3 linked regions of the Oryctolagus cuniculus genome follow. The protein of the gene in region 3 interacts with the protein of the main gene of each other region in a biochemical or structural test. Links are inferred from orthologs where the notes say so. Each region holds a gene or a part of one and is shown on either strand. Other genes may lie near its edges. The genes, in order: LIG1, CBX1 and EHMT2.

What was found.
Region 1: of the proteins of EHMT2 (region 3) and LIG1, one has a biochemical effect on the other in vitro, tested with the Homo sapiens proteins (3 studies listed by BioGRID). The link is inferred for Oryctolagus cuniculus from reciprocal best matches to the Homo sapiens genes EHMT2 and LIG1.
Region 2: the proteins of EHMT2 (region 3) and CBX1 form a complex in vitro, tested with the Homo sapiens proteins (2 studies listed by BioGRID). The link is inferred for Oryctolagus cuniculus from reciprocal best matches to the Homo sapiens genes EHMT2 and CBX1.

What each region holds. Positions count from the first base shown.
Region 1 is NC_091449.1:9,771,195-9,775,447, reverse strand, and holds the start of LIG1 (DNA ligase 1), read right to left. Parts: upstream 2,896-4,253; 5' UTR 2,763-2,895; intron 1-2,762. Other genes in the region: uncharacterized protein ZSWIM9, read left to right, coding at 3,041-3,233, 4,072-4,253.
Region 2 is NC_091448.1:24,363,255-24,366,898, forward strand, and holds part of CBX1 (chromobox protein homolog 1), read right to left. Parts: intron 3,254-3,644; coding exon 3,077-3,253; intron 2,763-3,076; coding exon 2,585-2,762; intron 2,001-2,584; coding exon 1,906-2,000; intron 1-1,905. UniProt on the Homo sapiens protein: Component of heterochromatin. Recognizes and binds histone H3 tails methylated at 'Lys-9', leading to epigenetic repression. Interaction with lamin B receptor (LBR) can contribute to the association of the heterochromatin with the inner nuclear membrane.
Region 3 is NC_091436.1:138,654,243-138,657,714, reverse strand, and holds part of EHMT2 (histone-lysine N-methyltransferase EHMT2), read right to left. Parts: intron 3,416-3,472; coding exon 3,314-3,415; intron 1,679-3,313; coding exon 1,574-1,678; intron 1,470-1,573; coding exon 1,315-1,469; intron 1,232-1,314; coding exon 1,064-1,231; intron 742-1,063; coding exon 597-741; intron 478-596; coding exon 400-477; intron 60-399; coding exon 1-59. UniProt on the Homo sapiens protein: Histone methyltransferase that specifically mono- and dimethylates 'Lys-9' of histone H3 (H3K9me1 and H3K9me2, respectively) in euchromatin.

The sequences.
Region 1 (4,253 bases), on a different chromosome or scaffold from region 3:
TCAAGAAACACTCCCGTTTTACAAGTCACGACGCCCCGCTAGGAGACCAGGGAAGACTGGCTCTCTCTCCTTTACAACTTCTGCAAGCCCAGATAAAAGCAAGCAGAACGAAGGGCACTCATACAGAAAGTTCTAGAAACATGAAGTAAGCAACACTGCAATATGAAACAAACACCAACCACTCGACCTCAGAGCGTGCCGTGCTCAGACGGCAGGCCATACTGGACTCTCGCTCTGCTAAGAGGAGAGCAGCGCCGGCACTGCCCTTGGGAACAGTCTGGTGGTCTCTCACCTACCCCATGGCTCCGGACACTGCTCCCCCCACTCCCAGTGAAACCCTGCGTCCACACAAGACCCTGTGAGCCAAGGAGTGCTGCAGCTCTGCCGGCAAGCTCAGAGGACTGCGCTTCCCGGGGAGGACACACGGCGGCGCGCGTGAGCACAGCGCGCCTAGCTCGGGGAGGCGGCGAGGTTTGCTTCCGTAAGAGCGACAGCGACCGAGACCAGCTACGGAGCAGACACTGCTGTGGCTGCGGGGAAGGCTGTTGGCAGACAGGGCAGGGCGTCTGCCGGGGGTAACGGACGGAGTCTTGACTGTGGTGCTTATGTGACTGTTTCCCACTCAACATTCACACCAAAGGCTGTATTTTACTGTACATCATATTTAAAAAAAAAAAAACAAACCCAAACCCTGGATCCCCACTGACTCGCTGCCTTCTCTCACACCCCAAACTCACGCAGGACCAAGTGGCATCGGCTCTGCCCCCAAATACTAACGGACAAGCAGCCCCTCCTGACCCCCCGGCTGCGGCTGTGGTGGGGGGGCGTGGACCCCACCATGCACTCTCCACTCTGGCTCAGCTTCCTGCCAAAGCACACTCTACCCTGGGAGGTGGCAGGTGATGGCTTAGGGTACCTGTGTCCCTGCCATGCATGTGGGAGACCTGGATGGAGTCCAGGCAACTGGCTTCAGCCTGGTTCACTCCTGCCTGTGGTAGGCATTTGGGGAGTAAATTAGCAGACAGAAGATAGCTGTCTGCCCTTCAAGTAAAAGAAAATTTTAAAAAACTTAAAAATTTAAAACTGAAACTTGAGTCACAAAAAAAGTGAAACGCGGGCCCGGCGCTGTGGCGTAGCAGGTAAAGCCGCCTCCTGCAGGGCCAGCATCTCATATGGACACTGGTTTGAGTCCCAGCTGCTCCACTTCTGATCCAGCTCTCTGCTATGGCCTGGGGAAGCAGTGGAAGATGGCCCAAGTCCTTGGGCCCCTGCACCTGCGTGGGAGACCCGGAAGAAGCTCCTGGCTTTGGACCAGCTCAGCTGGCCATCTGGGGAGTGAACCAGCTGATGCTAGGCCCCCCACCTCTCTCTCTCTGCTTCTGTTTCTCTAATTTTGCCTTTCAAATGAGAAATAAATCTCTAGAAAAATCAAAAAATAAAAATACATGCATCAAATGCCTCCCATTAAAAAAAAGTGAAATGTACCTTGTGAGACTCAGGAGCTAAGTCTCTTGCTCTAATTAGTTTACATTTAAGTAGCTCACGTGGCTAGTGGCTACCGTATTGCGCAATGTGGGGCTAAAACCCGAGTTCCTGGAAGGTACAGATTTTGTCTATTTCATTCAGGGACGTGACCGCAGGGCCTAAGCAGTACTTAGTACTGCACGCATTGGCCAATACATGCTTTTTACCCCAAATTAGGGTAGCAGAAACATCCGTCCATGACAGTTCAGGGTTGATAAGCAGGATCTTCCAAGCCCGCAGGCTGTGGAGTGGAGCCTACGGGGTCTTTGGTGAACGGTCCGTGGGTGACAGGCGGGGACGGCTGAGCCCGCCTTTCTCCCAGTGCACACCCTGCCCGCCTGCTCCCGGAACCACATCCGACGTTCCGTTCTCTCTCCCTGAGCAGGCAGTTCTTCCTTCCACGGACCAGAAGGAAGCTGGCAGGATCAGGGCTACCAGGCGGGCCACGAAGCACACCAGGGCGAGGCCCCAGCTCGGAGAAGCAGCTTGGATTCAGGTCTAAGCCCGCCGCCCCTGAGTCAGCGCTGCAGGCTGGGAACGCCCAGGGGACCCCCGCACAAAATGCAACCAGGGAGGCCTCACCCAGCCTGGACCTTCCCACCCACCCCTCGAACCCCGCTGCGTGCTCTCCCCTGGTATCAGATGCCAGGGCCCTCTCCCAACGCCCCTCTTCCCCTCTGCACTGCCCGCCCCCTCGACCCTCCCAGCGTCCCCTCCCCGGGGGACGTCAAGACCCCGCCTCCCTGCCCGCCCCCTCTAGCCTCCTCCCCAGGGTCTGGCCCCACGGGCTCCGCGCCCTCCGCTAGGCCCTTCTCTGGACTCGACCACTGACCTCCCTCCCGGTGCCCACCTGCGTCCAGCCCGGCCCACCCCTGACAGCCGGCGCGCCGCACTAGCTCCGCCCCCTGGGCGGTGTCCAAGTCCCACTGCCCACGCCCACCCCACGCTGTCCCGGCCCCGCCCCCTCCGGGCCTCCCACGCCCCTCCGGGCCTCTTCGCCGACGCCGCGGTCGAGCCCACGGCCGGCGGCCGCTGACTGCCGGGCCTCGGCCTGGCTTGTCTCGGCCCCGCGGCCGGCGGCCCCTCGCGCGCGCTCTCCCCTCGCGCCCGCGCTCTCGGCCGCCTCAGGCGTCCTCAGCGGCCGCTGCCCGACAGACGCCCCGACCTGACGGAGCCATGGCCCCCACGCTCGCCGCCCCCAGCGACCTCTGCCCCCCGCGCGGGCCGCCCCCACTTGCCTGGCGCCGGCCCCGCGCGCCGAAATCCCCGGCACCACAGTCGGCCCGGCTCCGCGCAGCCCCGCCGCCCCGAATTCGCGCCACGGAATTCGCGCGCAGAGACGTCGGCGGGCGGGGGCGGGGGCGGAGCCGAGGGGCGTGGTCCGCCCGCCGTCGCCGCCCGGAGGACGCTGGGAGTTGTAGTCTTCCGAACTAGAGAGCCCTGAGAAGGGGTGAAGTGGGGTGAGCCCTCCCGCAGAGCATGTCGGGAAGCGGCCCCGCGCCTCGCCTCGCCCTAGATGAGGGGTGGTGTAGCTGAGTGTCCCAGGGGTGGTGACTGGCGGAGTAAGAGGAAGGTTGAGGGGGAAGCCGCCGCGCGAGGCACGGCGGGAAGAGAGGCGAGAAGCAGCGCGGGGCATCCCGGGAGCAAGGGCCGGGCCGGGCTTCAGCGCGGGGCATTGTGGGAAGTGGACGCCGCTCCGGGGTGGGTAGGTGAGTGGGGGGGGCGGGAAGGGTGCACATCTGGGGGAGCGGAGAGGCGCAGCTGGGTGGGGCGGCGGGGCTGGGAGGGGCCGCGGCGAGCGGGGCTGAGAGGGCTTGGGGAAGCGGGAGCCGGCGGGCCCGAGCTGCAGCGGGTGGGAGGGCGTGGGGGCAGCGGCTGGGGGTGAAGAAGCCCACGCGAGGACCGAGGGCCATGTCTAGAAAGAAGAGGCACGTTGAGGGGGATGGTGGCGGCGGCGGCCGCTGGAGCTGGGGGCCGCGTCTCGGAAGGAGGTGGAGCAGCGATGGACCTCGGTGACACTTTTGAGTTGGACGAGCCACGAGTGGGGCTCGCACCTGTAGGCAGAGGCTCCGTGGCCGACCGCGGGGCGCGCACCTGGAGATGGGAGCGCCCTGGGGCAGCGGGAGCCGCAGGGGTTGCCCGTGGAGGAGTTGGGGGCGGCAGCCGCGCCTGGGAGACCACAGCTGGGGCGGAGCCGCGGCAGGTGCATGGATAAACCTGGGGCTGGGGGCCCATCGGGAGGTGACAGCGGGCGGAGGGGGGGGAGTTCCGGTTGTGCAGGGGGCGGGGGCCCTGGCTAGAAGTCCACACACATCTAGGGCGATGTTCTCGTTCCTGAACCCGTTTCCAGTTAGAATATTTCAGCAACACAGCACTCACGTCCAGGTTACCCTGAGGGCTTTATTCGTTGTTCCACTTGGGTCTTTCCAGGGGTCCTAACACGGGGGACGCCGGGACATAAGGGGTTAAGGCTCTGCTTGGGAAGGGGGACCGAGCAGGTGGGGCCGGGCCTGACACCCAGCGCCTCTTCCCCGCCCCCTCCCCCAGGCCCCAGGATGGAGCCGCTGCCGGAGCCCCCTCCCCGCGCAGCGGCGGCGGCGGGGCAGGAGGAGCAGGAGCTGCTGGAGCGGGCCTTCTTCTCCTGGGCCGAGTTCAGCCGCTTCTTCGACGCGTGGTGCCAGCAGCGGCTGGTGGTGTTCTCTGTCAAGAGCTCCACGCACGTGGCGCGC
Region 2 (3,644 bases), on a different chromosome or scaffold from region 3:
GGCACAGCTCCGACCGTTGCGGCTAATTGGGGAGTAAACCATCGAATGGAAGACTTCTCTCTCTCTCTGCCTCTCCTCTCTCTGTGTAACTCTGACTTTCAAATAAATAACGAAATCTTAAAAAAAGAAAACAGATATGGGGGACCTGAAGCATGCTATCATTTGTTGACAAATGTACAACACCCTGAGTTAAGTTCACTCCATCTCATTGACCAGAATGCTGGCAGTTTTTGGAAATGGGCCAATACCTCCGCTCTCCAAAAGAAATCATTAAAAAAGTTTTATACTCCATTATTCAATCTTTTTTTTTTTTTTTTTTTTTTTTTTTGGAAAAGCAGAGTTAGAGAGGGGAGGCAGAGAGAGGGAGGCTCCACTTCTGACCCGGCTCTCTGCTATGGCCTGGGATAGCAGTGGAATATGGCCCAAATCCTTGGGCCTCTGTACCCGAATGGGAGACCTGGAAGAAGCTCCTGGCTTTGGAATGGTACAGCTCCAGCCATTGCAGCCATCTGGGGAGTGAACCAGCAGTTGGAAGACCTCTCTCTCTGAGCCTTTCTTTCTCTCTGTAGCTCTTTCAAATAAATAAATAAATCTGTAAAAAGAAAGCAAGAAGGAAGGAAGGAAGGAAGAGAGGGAGAGAGCAGTCTTCCATATTCTGGTTCAATCCCCAAATGGCTGCAATGGCAGGAGCGGGGCCCTTCTGAAACCAGGATCCAGGAGGCAGAAGCTTATTCTGGGTCTTCCATGAGGGTGTGAGGTCCCAAGGACTGGGCCATCTTCTACTGCTTTCCCAGGCCATAGCAAAAAGCTGGATCGGAAGTGAAGCAGCCGGGCAGCTTTACCTGCTATGACACAGCGCTGGCCCCCCAACATTCAATCTTAATTTGTAGACGTAGTAGTGAGTCAACCAAAGGAATGTAGTCTTAAGTAATATAAACTACTTTAATTCACATGATCACATGCAGAGAACATGCATTCTAGCTAAATAATTCCTGGTATCAAATCTCCCATAAGCGACACATTTTGAGGATGGCACTGTGGTGTAGTGGGTAAAGCCACCACCTTCAGTGTGACATCCCATATGGGCATTGGTTCGAGTCCTGGCTGCTCAATTTCTGATCCAGCTCTCTGCCATGGCCTAGGAAAGCAGTAGATGATGCCCCAAATCCTTGGGCCCCTGCACCTGCATGGGAGACCCGGAAGAAGCTCCTGGCACCTGGGTTTGGATCAGCCCAGCTCTAGCCATTGAAGCCATTTGGGGAGTGAACCAGTGGTTGGAAGACTTCTTGCTCTCTGCCTCTAATACATAAATAAATCTCTTTAAAAACTGTAAGATTTTCAAGATAAATGTCTTCATTAAGTAGTTTGATGGGGCATTACTAAAACCATATTTACACTTAGAATGAATGGAAAAGGCAGCCTTGCACTATGCTCATGAACAGGAAAGGGGTCCTGCTGACCCCTGCTGGCTTATCCTGGAATTGCACAATTTACACAAACTAGAAAGGATTGATCAAGGACAAAGGAAGAGCTACAAAAATTCTTTGCTAACGCTGGGAAGAGTCTGTGATCCTGCAGCCAGCCAGATCTTTAAGGAGGTGGTAAAGGGGAGGGTGGTCCAGTCACATTTCATATTTTCTTTCATCATGTACAAAGTGAAATGTGATTTCTTCCCTCACCCTCTACAATTTGGATTTTTTTCCCACCTCCTCAAAAAACCAGGCAAAGATCAAGAATCCTAAGAGCCCCTACCTGTAACTCATGAGTTCATTGTGGCAGTCAGGCCGAGGGTCACTATCGAAGGACTATGTCATCTTAAAGATTTCACACTTGGGCAACTGGAATTTCGAAGGTCCAGCTCGTTTCTTCTGGCATGGAACAGATGGGGATTTCTTGCAGACTCACCATTTCATCAGGAACATGAGTTCTCCACTTGAGTCTGTAGCTCCAATGATCCGTTCCGGCTCCAAACCCCGGGCAAAGCCTCGTGGCTTTTCTGACTGTAAAAACCAGATAGGTAGAGCAGTTTGATCTATGTGGAACTGTCATCCAGACTGGAGTCACTCCCATGTCTGCTTAGTGCAATTGCATACCCTTTTGCTAACAGATCATCGATACTTTGGCTCCTAGTAACAGGCCTTTTGGAATCCTTTGGAGTGATTCATCAAGGTATGAATGCTTGAGGTTTCCCATATATGAAAAGGAATAGACTCCAAACAGCAGACTAAATGTTTACCACGACTGTCTCTCCAGGACTTCTCTTCACCCTCAAAAGACAACTGACCTTAAGGTGTTGGATAAATCAAAATTGTTACCACAAATCATATGCTTAATCAAATGATTAAAGCTATCTATTTACAGGAATCGTTTCATTTGCCCTTATATCTGTCCTCAAAAAGTATTATACTTGTTATTCCTAAAGCCTGGATAATGAGGGTAGATCATAGGGTTTCACAGGAGATTGAGAGGAAATGCTTGCTAAGATCTGAGGAGACATAACAAAACTTAATTATTTGGTCTTCAGAAGCTTCTTTGACAGTACTATCAATTCTGGACTAGGAAAAATCCTTATTTCAAGCCTTACCTCTTCTTTCTTCTTCTTTGGTTTGCTCTCTTCTCCCTTATCTTCAGAATCAGAATCAGCTTTGCGCTTGCCTCCCTCTGACTTATCTGTCTCATGTGCTGTTTTCTGTGACTGCAGAAACTCAGCAATGAGGTCAGGGCAATCCAGATTCTCTTCTGGTTCCCACGTATTGTCTTCACTGAAACCAACCACAAGGTACAGCAAGTCACGTTCCTTCAAAGTAAGTATACTTATACAAAGGATATAAATACAGGGAGGACAAGAGGAATTAATATTAATGAACAGCTACTTTTTGCCCAGGACAAAATCAATTTTCTTTGCAAAGAAATCCCTATCTTGCTTTTTCGCACTATACATGTAGGTCATACTCTTGTCAGACCATAAACCATGAAAGCCATGATTCATTTTTTTACTGCATCTATCACAGCTGTGTATCATTAGATTCCCAATAAACACTTGATGACTAAATTCACCTGTGTCAATGAAACTTACTCTGAGAAACCTTTCCACTTTAGGAGGTACTCCACTTTGCCCTTTACAACTCGACGGTCAAGAACTTTTTCCACCACATATTCCTCTTCCTCCTCTTCTAGCACCTCCTCCACTTTCTTCTTGTTTTGTTTTTTCCCCATGGTGCCCGCCAGCTTTCTGGTGTAAAGGGTGACGCTGCTAAAATGGTAAAAGAAATAAAATGGGCATTAGGGTTAGATAAATATCTGAATGTTTGGAAAATCATGGAGATCAGAGGGGACTTTAATACTGCATGCTACTTATAATGTTATGCCTATTTTCAACATATAAAAACCTTTTCTGAAATGTTCAGCTACAGAGTTAGCACTGATAAAACTTTTTTATTCTTGCATATTCATTTAAAAACTTTTATATACATGGGCCAGCATCCCATATGGGTGCAAGTTAGGCTGCTCCACTTCCAATCCAGCTCCTTGCTAATCGCTGGGAAAAGCAGTGAAGGATGGCCCAAGCGCCTGGGCACCTGCCATCCATGCGGAAGACTTGGAAGGAGCTCCTGGCTCCTGGCTTCAGCTTGGACCAGCCCCAG
Region 3 (3,472 bases):
TTACACTCGAAAATCAGGGGGGGCTCGATCTTGTTAAATTCCTGGAGCAGCCGCCCATCCTGGGATGCAGAGGGAAGGGAGGAAAGTGGTTTCAGTAGGGGTGCACCTCGGCTGCCCAGGACCCCCACGCCTCCAGGGAGAAAGCCACTGCCGACCCCAACCCAGAGACGGGGAGGCTGGGGAGGCCTCACACAGGCTCTGAGGTCAGAGAACAGGAAATGCACGAGCCACACCCTTGATCTGCATATACCTGGCACAGTCCTGGCACTGTCCCAGGCCTCGCCCCGCCCTCTCTGTCACTTCCCCCAAGGGGGCAGCAGGTGAGAAGCAAGGTCTTGGGGAGTTGGCAGTAGAGGCCAGCTCCTTCGCAGGAGTGACCGGGCCTCTGCGGGCACGCACCTTATCATACCAGCATCGTATGCTGAGCTGGCCGCACAGGCAGTTGGAGCTGGAGCAGTCGTCCACACACGTGCAGTGCTGGAAGGGGAGGCAGAGGGCCAGCTCAACCTCCAGAACTGGCTCCCAGCACCGCCCCCAGCTGGACGCAGCCTGCAAAGCCCACAGGTCTCTCGGGGAGGCCCCTGGGCCCCGCTCACCTGCAGGTGCGTGATGTTGCGGTCGATGTTCATGGTGGACGTCTCGCAGTTCTCTGAGATGTACTTGTAATCCTCAGGGCAGGGCTCCCCGTCCACGCCGTTGACACAGGGAATAGGCACGTTCTCATAGCCTCGAGCCACATCCCTGCACGGGAAGGGGGGAGACGGGGCTGCGGGCCAGGGCAGGGAGCCAGGGGCGGCTTGATAGAACCGTGGGGAAGAAGTCTGCCCAATAAAAGGCAGGACACCCAGTTAACCTTGAATTTCAGGTGAACAAGCAAAGACACTTTAGCATAAGCATGTCCCAAGTATTGCAGGGGCATCCTTATGTCAACCAAGCATGCATTTGCCTGTCCTAGCTTGGGGTGGGGGACAGGGAGGCTAGGGCAGCGGTTGGATTCGACGTAGCACGGGGAGGGTTTTGGGGATGCTCTGAGGATGCAGCGGGGCCTGGGGCGGGGGCTCACCGGCAGATGATCTTCTCCGTGCGGATGGCGCGATTGCCCACCCCGAGCCGGAGCTTGCGGTTGAGCTGCAGCGCGAACCACACGTCGGAGCGCTCCGGGGTCAGATCCCACGCGGTGTCCCCCTCCTTGTTGCGCAGCTCGGGGTTGGCGCCGCGCGACAGGAACAGGCTGGGGCGAGGACAGGCGGTTGGTTAGCGGGTAGGTGGGGCTGGGGCGGAGGGGGCGGGGCTGGCCGGGCGGGCGGGACTCACAGCACACAGTCGTGGTAGCTCTCCCTGGCAGCGATGTGCAGGGGCGTGTCCCCGTGGTAGTTCACGGCGTGCAGGTCACAGCGGGCGTTCAGGAGGACCTCAGCGATGGCAGCGCTGCCGGTGAAGGAGGCCCAGTGCAAGCAGATGTTTTCCTCCTGGGGAGGTGGTGGGGTGGAGAGAGGGCTGGGCTGCAGGCCGCTGAGCCCCAGGGCCCAGCCTCCGCCTGGCCTCCTCCCACCCTGAGCAAACTGTCACTCACGTTGTCAGTGAGGGTGACGTCGGCACCCCGTGTCAGCAGCATGCGGATCACCTCGATGTGCTTGTGCTCCGCAGCCCAGATGATGGGCGTCCACCCTCCGCTGTCCTGCGGGTGGGAAGCCAGTGAGGGTGGGGAGCGGCTGACCCTGGCGCCCAAGTGACTGGGAGTCCCAGCTCCACCACTCACAAGCTGTAGGACCCTGACTACTATCCAAGGTTGCAGAGGCAACGAAGCGAGTGCTTTCCTTTAAAAAAAAAAAAAAAAAAAAAAAAAGCATTTGCTAAGTCTGCCTGCTCAAAAGTCTAGGAGTCAGAACCCGGGCTGTGTTTCCTATAAAATACTCCCCAGGTCAAGGAACCCAAGTTTCTTAGCAAAACGGAGTCTGGGGCAGGAAAGCTGCGGAGAGGGCAGAGGTCAGGTCAAAGGCCACAGAAGCCCACCTCGAGAGCCCAGTCCTGGACAGAGGCAGCGCGATTCCGAGGCCGGCAAGAATGAGAATAAAACAGAAACACCTCCGCCGGCAGTTACTAAGAGTCACACTGGACGCCTTGGGAGTTAGGCAGCTCTGCCGGAGAGCAGCAGGGAGCTCGCCAACGCTCCTGAATCGGACCCTCTAGTGCTGCAGGTGTAGACGGTGCTGGAGCATACCTCTGGGAGCGCAAAGCATCTTGTACCTGCTTCACGACACGTCGTAGTGACCGTGCTTTATCAGAGCTGTTTTTAATGATGTTATTCTAGAATGCTTTCTTTCCCGATGATGACTGAGAAGCTAATAAAAAAAAAACGGTGCCAGGTACCACAACAGTAACAGGACTTTGCTGTTTGAGGGGTTTTTGTTTTAGTTTTTTAAATGGAGTGTGCTAGATGTCCCTATAATTTGGTTCAAATGACTGCAGAAACTGGAAAAGCTGTTTCTGCTATTGATACAAAACACTCTGCTATTACTGGTCTTTTTACAGAAATATAATTATATATATACATAAATGTAATTTAATTTTTAGAAACTGCAGCTGTGCTGTCAACTTTGAGAACAGTATCTCAGTTTACCGTGTTGACTTAGCACTGTACAGAAACTAACAGCCACATTGGTCTAGAAATGTTAATTTTTTTCCCATTTGTACAGGGATAACGCACTGTATTAAATATGTAAGGTCTTATCTACATGGGTTTGATTACAGAACTAATAAAGTATTCCGTAAATAATGAAAACAAAAGAAGTTAAGGCAGGAACTCATTCTAAAAACAGATAAAGAGGGGGCCAGCCCTGGGGCATAGTGGGTAAAGCCACCACCTGCAGTGCCGGCATCCCATATGGGTGCTGGTTCGAGACCTGGCTGCTCCATTTCCCATACAGCTCTCTGCTATGGTCTGGGAAAGCAGTGGGTGAAGGCCCAAGTGCATGGGCCCCCGAACCCATGTGGGAAACCTGGAGGAAGCTCCTGGCTCCTGGCTTCAGATCAGCCCAGCTCTGGTCATTGAGACCATTTGGGGAGTGAACTAGTGGATGGAAGACCTCTCTCTCTCTCCTTCTGCCTCTGCCTCTGTATCTCTGCCTTTCAAATAAATACATTAATTAATTAAAAAAAAAGATAAAGAGGAAGAAAGCAAGAAAAAGGGTGAAGAGAAATGCAGAGGAAGAGACGGCACAGACCCAGGCAGCCTGACACAGAGTGAACGGGGGCCCAAAGGCCCCTGCTGAGGCCAGGCGCCCGGGCGGGACGGGCAGCTCAGGCCGCTGACCTGGGCATTGACGTCCACCTGTCCCGTGCTGAGCAGCAGACTGACCATCTCCAGGTTCCCAATTTTGGCTGCATGGTGGAGGCAGGTGGAGCCATCCTCCTCCTGAGGGAGACACGCACATGGGTGAGAATCTGGCTGCACCCAACCCCAGCCCCGACT